Linked DNA regions of Macaca mulatta. The protein of the gene in region 3 interacts with the protein of the main gene of each other region in a biochemical or structural test. Links are inferred from orthologs where the notes say so. Each region holds a gene or a part of one and is shown on either strand. Other genes may lie near its edges.

Region 1 (3,654 bases), about 30 Mb from region 3:
TTGCTAAATCCAAAGGACACTTTGCAGTCCTTATTCTGTTCGAGCTTTGACACTGCCTCTTCTGCCTTTCATGAAGTTTTCTTTCTTCACCTAATTTCCTGAACTTTTCATCTCCCTTCTGCCTCTCTGACAAATTTCATAGAATATTCTTCACAAAATATTCTTCTTTCTTATATTTTCCTCTAATCTTTCCTAGATATTCTCACCCACTTATACATTTTCAACAGTATACCTTTGCAGGAGACTTCAAGTTCACAGCTCTGAAATTTTTCTTGTGTTTAGATCTCAATTCTTCCTGTATCCTGGACTTGTCCCCCCAAAAAGCTCTCAAAGACGTTAAGCTCAAAATGTCACAAATACACATTATTTCTCCCCCAAACCTTCTCCTTTTCTTTAGCTTATTTAGCAACACAATTTTATTTCTAATAACTCAAGGTAGCATGATTTATTATCAAATCCCAATTTCCACTGATCTTCGGTACAGCTAACCCAGTGGCTCTTAATTAGTATGTAAGCACCTGGAGAGTTTTGGGAATAATGCAGGACCCAGACGTATTGATTCATCAGGCCTGGAATGTGACCCAGGAATCCACAAGTTGAACCAGTATCCTAGGTGATTCTGATGATTGAGCCTTTAATCTACACCTTGAGAAACATTGATCCAAGGAGCCGTCCTGTTGATTCTGCCTCTAAAATACAATTTATATTTACTATTTTATTTCTGTTTTCACTGTAACTATGCCCTAGTGTTGGCCCTCACCTGTTTTGCCTAAAGTGTTGAAACAGCGTTTTATGGACCTCTGAGATTGTCTTCTATATATATTTCTCCTCTCCATGCTCCATCCTTTAAAAATGCCAACAAGGTCTTTGACTTAAACCAAAGATATGATCCATATTACTTCTCTTACCAAGTCCCAGTGGTAGTTACTTGATACGATTTGGCTGTGTCCTCACCCAAATCTCACCTCGAATTGTAATAGTCTTCACTTGTCAAGGGCGGGGCCAGGTGGAGATAATTGAATCATGGGGGGCTGTTTCCCCCATACTGTTCTTGTAGTAGTGAATAAGTCTCATGAGATCTGATGGTTGTATAAAGGGGAGTTCCCCCTGCACATGCTGTCTCTTGCCCACTGCCATGTAAGATTTCCCGTTGCTCTTCCTTAATCTTCCACCACGATTGTGAGACCTCCCGTTATGCGGAACTATGAGTCAATTAAACCTGTTTCCTTTATATATTACCTAGTCTCAGATAGGTCTTTATTAGCAGAGTGAGAACAGACTAATACATTACTTATTGAGAAAATTCGTCTCAAAATCTTTCTATCATTTTTTCAGTCCTTCTAGATTGTGGGTTCCAGCTCATATACTTCAGCATCATTTGAGTTCCTAGACCTTTTAAAATTCCTTGCACACTCCTGGAGCTTTGTCATAATATGCTGTTTGCTCAACCTGAACTGGTCGAATTTAAATGCCATATTTGCCTCAGAGTCCTATAGCCCTTACGTACTTCTAACTACCCTCCTCATCAGTCACTCTTTCAGAGTACCCATTTTGGTTTGGGTTATATATCATTATTTATTTATTTATTTGTCTCTTTAGTATTTTACAGTGTGAGGTACACACTCAATTTGTGTTCCTAAATAATGCCTTTCACCTTTCTGAACCTGATTTTCTCTGTAAGCCTGAAGGATTAACACATCTTTCAGGACTGATATGCTAAATAAGTGTTTATTTTGAAGAGTGCTGTGTTGTCTGAGTAAATGTTTTCCTTCTTTCCCTCTCTCCTTCTCTCTTTTCAATTTGTTTCCCTTTGCCTTTATCTCTGGGCATTTCTTTTCTCCTTAGTTTCTTGCCTTGCATCTTTCTTTTCTACTCTCTTCTCCTTCTTCTCTTTCCTTCTCCTTAATTTTCTTTCTCTATCTTCCTGAGTTCCATGCAGCAGTGATCACAATGTTTGCCACGTATCTGTTGTTCACTAAAGACAGGAATTTTTTTTTTTTTTTTTTTTGAGACGGACTCTCGCTCTGCCGCCCAGGCTGGAGTGCAGTGGCCAGATCTCAGCTCACTGCAAGCTCCGCCTCCCGGGTTTAAGCCATTCTCCTGCCTCAGCCTCCCGAGTAGCTGGGACTACAGGCGCCGGCCACCTCGCCCGGCTAGTTTTTTTTTGTATTTTTTAGTAGAGACGGGGTTTCACGGTGTTAGCCAGGATGATCTTGATCTCCTGACCTCGTGATCCGCCCATCTCAGCCTCCCAAACTGCTGGGATTACAGGCTTGAGCCACTGCGCCCGGCCAAAACAGGAATTTTTTAAGTAAATTAAGTCACATTGGTTATGCAGCTGTCAGAATGAGCCAATATAGCTGGGGAGTTATACTATATTCATACTGTGCATAAACAAACAAGTCTATCCATTATGATATGACCAGTACCTGTACAGAGAAAAGCTTCCATATTGAAGCAGCTCTAATCCTACAGAATTACCATGTTTAAGAGTAACTACTATTGTGCCTAATAATTAGTGAACATTTGTGTTTCTCTTAATATTAGGAACAACAAAACCATATCCTGCTGATATTGTAGTTCAGTTCAAGGATGTATATGCACTGATGGGCCAAAATGTGACCTTAGAATGTTTTGCACTTGGAAAGTAAGTATACTGACACTTTCATTAATATATATAGAAATAGTACCATTTTAGGAAATAAATAATTGTTTAGCTGTAAACATAAAGTAATTGTCTTTTAAGTGTGTGAAACTTTAGCACTGGTATCTTCTGTTTAAAGTCCTGTTCCGGATATCCGATGGCGGAAGGTTCTAGAACCAATGCCAAGCACTGCTGAGATTAGCACCTCTGGGGCTGTTCTTAAGATCTTCAATATTCAGCTAGAAGATGAAGGCATCTATGAATGTGAGGCTGAGAACATTAGAGGAAAGGATAAACATCAAGCAAGAATTTATGTTCAAGGTAGATATATTATTTTAATTTTGTATACATTTCATCAATATCTTATTTAAAACCATTTCCATACTTGAAAAACTACCATATAATGATTAATAGTTTTAAGAACAGTGATATATGTTACATCATGGAGAATGATAAAATATTTCTCATATGTCTAATGAAGTCACAACTATGAGTTATAGAAGTTATGAACTTATTACCAATTGAACCATAGAAATGGATCAATAGAAGTGTTATTGGTAATTTTCAGAATATACACTTAATGTAGTTTGTTTACTCATTTTATCACTGTCTTTTTTCAGTATCTTTTTATTTATAGAAGAAGCTATATGTTATGACTTAAGTCAGTGGTTTGCAAACTTAAGCATGCATCAACATCACATGGAGGGCTTGTTAAAACACAGATTGCTGGGCCAAACTCTCAGGATTTTTAATTCAGAGGTCTGTTAAGGGTTCATGAATTTGTATTTTTAACAAATTCCCAAAGGATGCTGCTACTATTGGTCCTGAAGCCACACTTTGAGAACCACTGGTCTAAGGAATCTTCTTTTTTTTTTTTTTTTGACAAAATTATCTTGGCACAAACCTTTCATTTTCACACATTAAAATAAACTTACATTTGGGAAGAGAGACTTTTTTTCAGGCCACATTGGAAACTTTCCAGACTGAAACTATAATGTTCCACAACATGA
Region 2 (3,633 bases), on a different chromosome or scaffold from region 3:
CCGTCCGTGGGACTGTGCTGCCTGCCTAGCCGGTGTGGGCCGGCTCTACTACTGGCCACTGCCACGCCCGTGGGACCTGCTGAGCCTGCCGCTGGGCTGGCTTGGAGCCAGGCTGCAGGGTTCAGCTGAAGCCGGGGTAGTATCAGATGAGGCAAGCAGCCCTGGCCCTCACATCCCCAAGCCCTTCCCAGACCCCAGCATCCCCCTGTCCTGGGCCACATCGGGGGAGTAAAAACCACCCAGGATTGTTAGGACCTCTCCCTCCCACTGGTGCTTGTAGCCAGCGCATCCAACATGCCTACCCCTTGCAGTTTCAGAGGATCCAGGGATGTGTAGGGTGCTCCTGAATCACCCCCAACCAGTTAGACAGGAAGCCATTAGCGTGGGGACAGGACAGTGACTAAGGGGAAAATTGACCCCCTTCTTTCTAGGAGTCTGGAGCTCTCCAGAGCCCCGTCCCCAACCCTGGGCAGCTGGGAGTGAAGGGCACCAGGCCCCAGAAAGCCCAAGTCAAGCAGCAGCTGGGCTGCAGGAGTCTGTCCTCAGAGCTGCACGGGGCAGGGCGGAGGCGTCGCAAACACAGACAGAGCCAGGGTCAGCCATAGACACATCTCTATATTTATATATTAGATGGGTCAGGGAGGTGGCAGGGGCGCTGGGCTCTCCACGCCCCCCAGCTCCACTTCTGCTCACCACACACAGAAGCAGCGAGGGCACTCGAAGTGACAGCTTTGACGGGGAGGGGATTCAGCCCAGTCCGGCTCCTCGGGGATGCTAGCCCTTGAGACTAAGGAATGTTCCTTCAGGGAAGATAGGGTGGGGTTTAAATGAGATGAGGGGGGCAGGCCTGGCCCTGAGTCCCTACTCAGCGCCCCCCACCCTCCACCCCTGCCCCTCAGCAGGTCAGGGCAGCCAGAGCCCCTCCATTCTAGAACTGCCAGAGACTGGGACACTGGGGAAGGTAAGGGTGCAGCAGCAGCAGTGGGAGATTGAACTGGGGCCACCTGAGCCCCCGAGGTCCTGTGGGAAGGGCGGCTGGGGAGGAGGCCTTGGCCTGCCTAAAGCTGGAGGCCTCAGCAAAGGAGAGAGGTGGCCAGGCCCATGCTCCACCCTGGTCTGGGCTGCCAAGGTCTGGGCTCGGCACAGTGTCCATTTTCTAACAGTCCGGCGGGAGAGGGGCAGGCAGGAGGCAGGTCCTAAAGAGAGAAGCAGACAGAAAAGGAGTCATTAGCATACCCCAGGCAGACCCGCGGGAGCCCTGACCTGAACGTCTCTCACCCTCACAGCTGGATAGGCTGGGTCTCAGTTTCCTTATCTGTAAATGGAGATAATAATAGTACCTAGCTGGAGGTACTGCTGTAAGATTAAAGGAATTAAGACATGTAAACCTCTTAGAACAATGCTTAGGGTTTTATGCTTTCATTATTAGAACAGTCTCAGCTGGGCACAGTGGCTCATGCCTGTAATCCCAGCACTTTGAGAAGTCGAAGTGGGTGGGTCACTTGAGCCCAGGAGTTGGAGACTGGCCTGGGCAATATAGCAAGACCCCAACTTTAAAAAAAAAAAAAAAATTAGCCAGTTGCAATGGCTCGTCCAGCCAGCTGGGAGGATCCCTTGCGCCCCAGGAATTTGAGGCTGCATTGAGCTATGATTGCACCACTGCACTCCAGCCTGGGCGACAGAGTGAGACACTGTCTTAAAAAAACGAAAACAAAAAAAAGATAAATAGAACTGACTCCAGGAAACTGAGGTGCAGAGAGGTGAGGTGCCTTGCCCAATATCACACAGCACTTACTAAGTGGCACAGCTGGAGTTTGAGCCCAGGTATGCACGCCTTCTTCCTATTAGGCCACACCTGGCTGAAGACAGGAAGAGACCAGAGGAGGCAAGGAGGCAGTGTGGGTGGGGGCAGGCCCAGCAGGGTCCCCACAGCTATGTGAACTGCTGATCTGGCAGCAGGTGTGAGGAGGCCTGGCAATCTGGGTCAGGCTGGGTGCTGCTGGGCCCCTCCCAAAGCAATCATGGCCCCACCTGCTTCTGCCACACCCAGAGCCGAAGCCTGGGTGACAGGGCCCCTCAGTGACCTCTTGCCTCTTTACCAGTTCCGTTCCCAGAAGGAGATTAGAATGGCTGCTGGGGCTGGAGGATGCAGGGTGTTGACAGGTGGAGACATTTGGGGCTGGAGGACTGGGTGGGCCATGAGTCTGGGCAGCACTTGGGCATTTTTTTTTTTTTGAGATGGAGTCTTGCTCTGTAGTCCAGGCTGGAGTGCAGTGGTGTGATCTCAACTCACTGCAACCTCTGCCTCCTGGGTTCAAGCAATTCTCCTGCCTCAGCCTCCCAAGTAGCTGAGATTACAGGCACACGCCACCACACCTGGCTAATTTTTGTATTCTTAGTAGAGACGGGGTTTCACCATGTTGGCCAGGCTGGTCTCGAACTCTTGACCTCGTGATCCATCACCTTGGCCTCCCAAAGTGCTGGGCTTACAGATGTGAGCCACTGTGCCTGGCCCCCCCTTTTTTTTTTTGAAACAGAGTCTCACTGTTGCCCAGGCTGGCGTATAGTGGTGCAACCTCCGCCTCCCGGGTTCAAGCAATCCTCCCACCACAGCCTCCTGAGTAGCTGGGACTAGAAGCGCATGCCTACACACCCGGCTAATTTTAGTATTTTTAGTAGAGACAGGGTTTCACCACATTGGCCAGGCTGGTCTCGAACCCCTGACTTCAGGTGATACACTCGCCTCAGCCTCCCAAAGTGCTGGGATTACCAGAGTGACCCACTGTGCCTGGCTAATTTTTGTATTTTTAGTATAGATGGGATTTCGCCATGCTGGCCAGGCTGGTCTCAAACTCCTGACCCTCAGGTGATCCACTCATCTCAGTCTCAGTCTCCCAAAGTGCTGGGATTCCAGGCATGAGCCACTGCACCCAGCCCCCGGGCACTTCTGTTGTCACCAGACACACCGAGCATGGGTGCAGGGTAAGCTTGCTGCTATATGGAGGCACATACAAATACAGATATAGATATTGATATAGATACAGATACAGATAGAGATATAGATAGATATAGATACAGGTATTTAGTATCAGCGTATCTGTGTGCCGGCCATGGGGACACTCACCAGGCCCCAGGGTGCAGGGATGTCTGTCTGGGTTAGGGGGCCTCTAGCGCCCCAGGCTGGAAGCGTGCTGTCTCCTGGAAGATGAGCTCCTTCAGCCGCTCCTTAGGTAGGTCATCCAGCTCCATGGCGAAGGTGAAGGGCTCCTCGGCCACTGGCTGGGGTGGCAGAGACAGCAAGGCTCAGGCCTGGCATGGGGGATGCCTACTTACCCCCCTGCCCCTGGCCCTACTGCTGCTGGGGACTGGCCCACCTCATCCGTCGGGTCATAGTACTGCTCCAGGTAGGGGTGAGCCAGCGCTTCCTCCACTGTGATCCGTTTATTGGGGTTAAAGGTTAACATCCGGTCCAGCAGGTCAAGGGCTATAGAAGGGCAGGAGTCAGGGGTCACAGGGAAGACTGGAGAAGCTCCCAGAAGCATCACTTTGCCTGTCTCCTCCAGCTGCTGCTGGGCTCCCGTACCCTCCATGGCACCCAGGGTTTATCCCACACCCGTCCTCATGTCTCTCAAA
Region 3 (3,654 bases):
AATGCATTGCCATTATTTGTCCATGTGTCTGTCTCGCCAGTCAGCTCTTTAAGGACGAGAAGCATGCCTGATTTATCTTTATGTCCCTGTCAACATAACCATCCCCGCCTTCAGACCTATGTACTGACTAAATAAGTTATCAATCAATTAGGCCAATGTGGTTGTCTGAATAGCCCCAAAGATGTCCATGTCCTAATCCCCAGAACCTGTGAATATGTTACCTTCTGTGGCAAAAAGGGCTTTGTAGATGTGATTAAGTTAAGGATCTTGAGACGAAGGAATTATCCTGGATTGTCCAGTTGGTGACCAAGGTAATCACAAGAGTCCTTAAAAGATGGAAGAGGGAGGCAGGAGAGCAGAGAAAGAGATGTAAGGTCCCATGCAGAGATTGGAGCAATGTCATCGTTGGGAAGGGGACACGAGCCAAGGAATGTGGGCAGCCTCAGAAGCTGAAAAAGGCAAGGAGTGGATTCTCCCCCGAAAGTCCCTACAGGAAACACAGCCCTGATGTCTTCATTTCAGTCCCCAAAAACTATTTTTCAGATTCTAACCTTCAGGACTAGAAAATAATAAATCTGGGTGGTTTTAAGCCACTAAGATTGTGATATTTTATTACAGTAGCAATAGGAAGCTAATAGCACCAATATTAATGAAAAATCAGAATCAGAGTGTGGTGGGCTGAGTCCTGTGTGGATAGGGCAACCGACATGGAAGTGGCAAATCAGGGTGAATGTTCCCAGCGTATCAAGAGATGGATACCATCTCCCAATGTTGCGTCATCCCTCTTGCCCTGTGGTTCTTACACAATAGTAGACATTGGCAATATGTGCTTCAAAACATTATGCTGTGCTAATTACCTGTTCGGCCTTCAGTCTGGGCTTCCTTGCTAAAGAGGCCTCCACTGACAGTTAGGATCTGTATCTTGTATTTCTTGCCTGGTGTCAGATCTTCAAATTTGTGTTGCTTAGTGGTGGCTGGCTCTGATGTGTTGTGCAGGATTCCATTTTCAGTCAGAAGCAGGATATCGTATCTTTCTGCCACACCAGCAGCTTTTTGCCAACTTACTATTAAGGAATGACTGCTGTATGCATTGTCTGCAATTACTCCTTGGACAGATGCTGGAACTGCAGAGAGACAAGTGGAGCAACAAAATACAGATTTTATCACTTAGGGTAAAGTAATCAATTGAGAAAAACTCCTGAATCAACTGCAGGTAGATGATGCGTTTGCTTTATTTGTGTGGCATTGATACTTTCTGTGTGCCCTTATGGAGAAAAGAGGAGAAAGGATTTCCTGGCTTAACCTGTCTGTAAAACTACTTTGATTCTCCATTTTTTTCTCTGAATTTAAATAGGATCTCAGATAGAAAAGTTAGTGAAAATGGCCTGATAAATATGCAGAGTGGTGCATACCTATGAGTCTAGAAAGTGAAGGATGCTGAGCAAGTTCATATTCAGTGAATGTGGGTTTGATAGTGAATTATGTTTCTTGTTTAGACTTTTATTACTAACATTAACTAAGGTCAAAACTTCAAGTCTTGACTTCAGCGGTAGTATATACTAGTATTTGTTCTATAGCTCCTGAAGTGAAAGGCAAAATAGTATTACTGTTTTTATAATAATATTTTCTGTCCTATGTTCATTTCTTTTCTCATTCTACATAATCTTCTTAGATTTCATCTATGTCCATGGTTTGAAGTGTCACCCATAAGGTGACAACTCCTGAATTTAAACTTTTAGTTGTTTCTCCTGCTTTTGCAAATCACATCTCTCCCTGAATGTACCACAGACACCCAACACTCAACACGTCCAAATTGGACTCCTCATCTCCCTCCCACAATGTTCTCATTGCCTTTTGTCTCTATCTCTTGGTTCAAGTCAGAAACTTCAATTGTCACTCTCAACCTTGTCTATATAATCAAATATGAGTTTTATTTCTGTATCCTAAATCTCCTATCTCTTGAATCTAGCCACTCTCTGTGTGCTGCCACTACCTCAGAACCATATCATATCCTTTAGCAAGTATAAATGAGACCATACATTATTGCAGCTGCCTACTGACCAGTCACTTGCGTCCTTTCCTCCCACTCTTTCAATCTGCAGACTCTATCTAGCATATTTTTATAGCACTCCCATGCTGATGGCCCTGCAGTTGCTCTCCATAATTCCAAAACACCTTCACAGGCAAACAAAGCTCTTCGTGATTTGGTCTATCTACTTACCTGGCCACACGGCTCACATTTTTTATTCTAGTATACTTTTGTTTTTTATACTTTTAGTAGAGATGGGGTTTTGCTACATTGCCCAAGCTGGTTTTGAACACCTAGACTCAGGCTATCCACTCACCTTGGCCTCCCAAAGTGCTGGGATTACAGGCATGAGCCACCATGCCCGGCCTTTATTCTAGTATACCAAATAAGGTGTAGGTCCCCAAATGTGCCATCCTTTCTCCTACCTCCAGGGCTTTGTTTTCTCTGATGGAACCAAGTCAACTTACACTTCACCTGGATGACTTCCTAGTCTTTCTTTAAATATTACTTCCTCCTGAAAGCCTTCCCTGATTCTTCTTGTTTGCTCCTCTAACATCTCATAACCACTTTTATCTTAGCACTTACCATGTTTTACTGTCATTGCCTTTTACTTTTCTGTCTCCTTCACTAGATTATCACGTTCTTGAGGTCAGGGGCTCTGCCTTGCTACTGAATGCCCACTTTCTTTTTTCTGAGACAGAGTCTCACTCTGTCACCAGGCTGGAGTGCAGTGGCATGATCTTGGCTCATTGCAACGTCCACCTCCCAGGTTCAAGTGATTCTCCTGCCTCAGCCTCCTGAGTAGCTGGGACTACAGGTCTGCACCACCACGCCCGGCTAATTTGTTTTTTTTTTTTTGGTATTTTTAGTAGAGATGGGGTTTCACCATGTTGGCCAGGATGGTCTCAATCTCTTGACTTCATGATCCACCCGCCTCAGCCTCCCAAAGTGCTGGGATTATAGGCATGAACCACTGCGCCCAGCCAAATGCCCACTTTCTAACACAGGGTTTGTCATAGGGTTAAAGATATGCAGATAAAGATATAAACATAGATATGAAATAGAGGCATAGTAGGGCATGGTATAGAAACCTCAGGCCCCGCAGCTAAATAAGTGGTCATGAGAATGGGAGGCATCTAAAAAGTATTGTGTCACAGTGGAGAGGGCATGAGGTTTGGGGCCAGACAGACCTAGACTTGAATTATAGCTTTAGGTCTTATTATATATGTATCCTTGATACTGTTTCATAAACTTTCTGAGCCATACTTTCCTCATCTGTAAGAGGACTATAGTATTACTAGAGATCTTTCAAAAATAATACATTAATAGTGATATTGATATAAACAGATTTATTTATACATTTGATACTTATTTTTTTTAGCTCTACCAGGTAAAGTAGATGGCACAGATGTGTACTTGTTCTTAAAAGGTAGAACTTTTGAAAAATGCATAATTATGGAAGTCTCCATATTAAAATTTATTTATTTATTTATTTATTGAGACAGGGTCTCACTCTGGTTACCCAGGCTGGAGTGCAGTGGCATGATCACGGCTCACTGCAGCCTTGACCTCTCAGGCTCAGGTGATTCTTCCACCTCAGCCTCCCAAGCAGCTGGAACTACAGG

The links.
Region 1: the proteins of PTPRB (region 3) and CNTN1 form a complex in vitro, tested with the Homo sapiens proteins (2 studies listed by BioGRID). The link is inferred for Macaca mulatta from reciprocal best matches to the Homo sapiens genes PTPRB and CNTN1.
Region 2: of the proteins of PTPRB (region 3) and MAPK3, one has a biochemical effect on the other in vitro, tested with the Homo sapiens proteins (2 studies listed by IntAct). The link is inferred for Macaca mulatta from reciprocal best matches to the Homo sapiens genes PTPRB and MAPK3.

What each region holds. Positions count from the first base shown.
Region 1 is NC_133416.1:47,834,783-47,838,436, forward strand, and holds part of CNTN1 (contactin-1), read left to right. Parts: intron 1-2,547; coding exon 2,548-2,647; intron 2,648-2,783; coding exon 2,784-2,965; intron 2,966-3,654. UniProt on the Homo sapiens protein: Contactins mediate cell surface interactions during nervous system development.
Region 2 is NC_133425.1:28,444,725-28,448,357, reverse strand, and holds the end of MAPK3 (mitogen-activated protein kinase 3), read right to left. Parts: intron 3,485-3,633; coding exon 3,375-3,484; intron 3,280-3,374; coding exon 3,157-3,279; 3' UTR 3,125-3,156; intron 1,197-3,124; 3' UTR 596-1,196; downstream 1-595.
Region 3 is NC_133416.1:77,650,683-77,654,336, forward strand, and holds part of PTPRB (receptor-type tyrosine-protein phosphatase beta), read right to left. Parts: intron 1,125-3,654; coding exon 858-1,124; intron 1-857. UniProt on the Homo sapiens protein: Plays an important role in blood vessel remodeling and angiogenesis. Not necessary for the initial formation of blood vessels, but is essential for their maintenance and remodeling. Can induce dephosphorylation of TEK/TIE2, CDH5/VE-cadherin and KDR/VEGFR-2.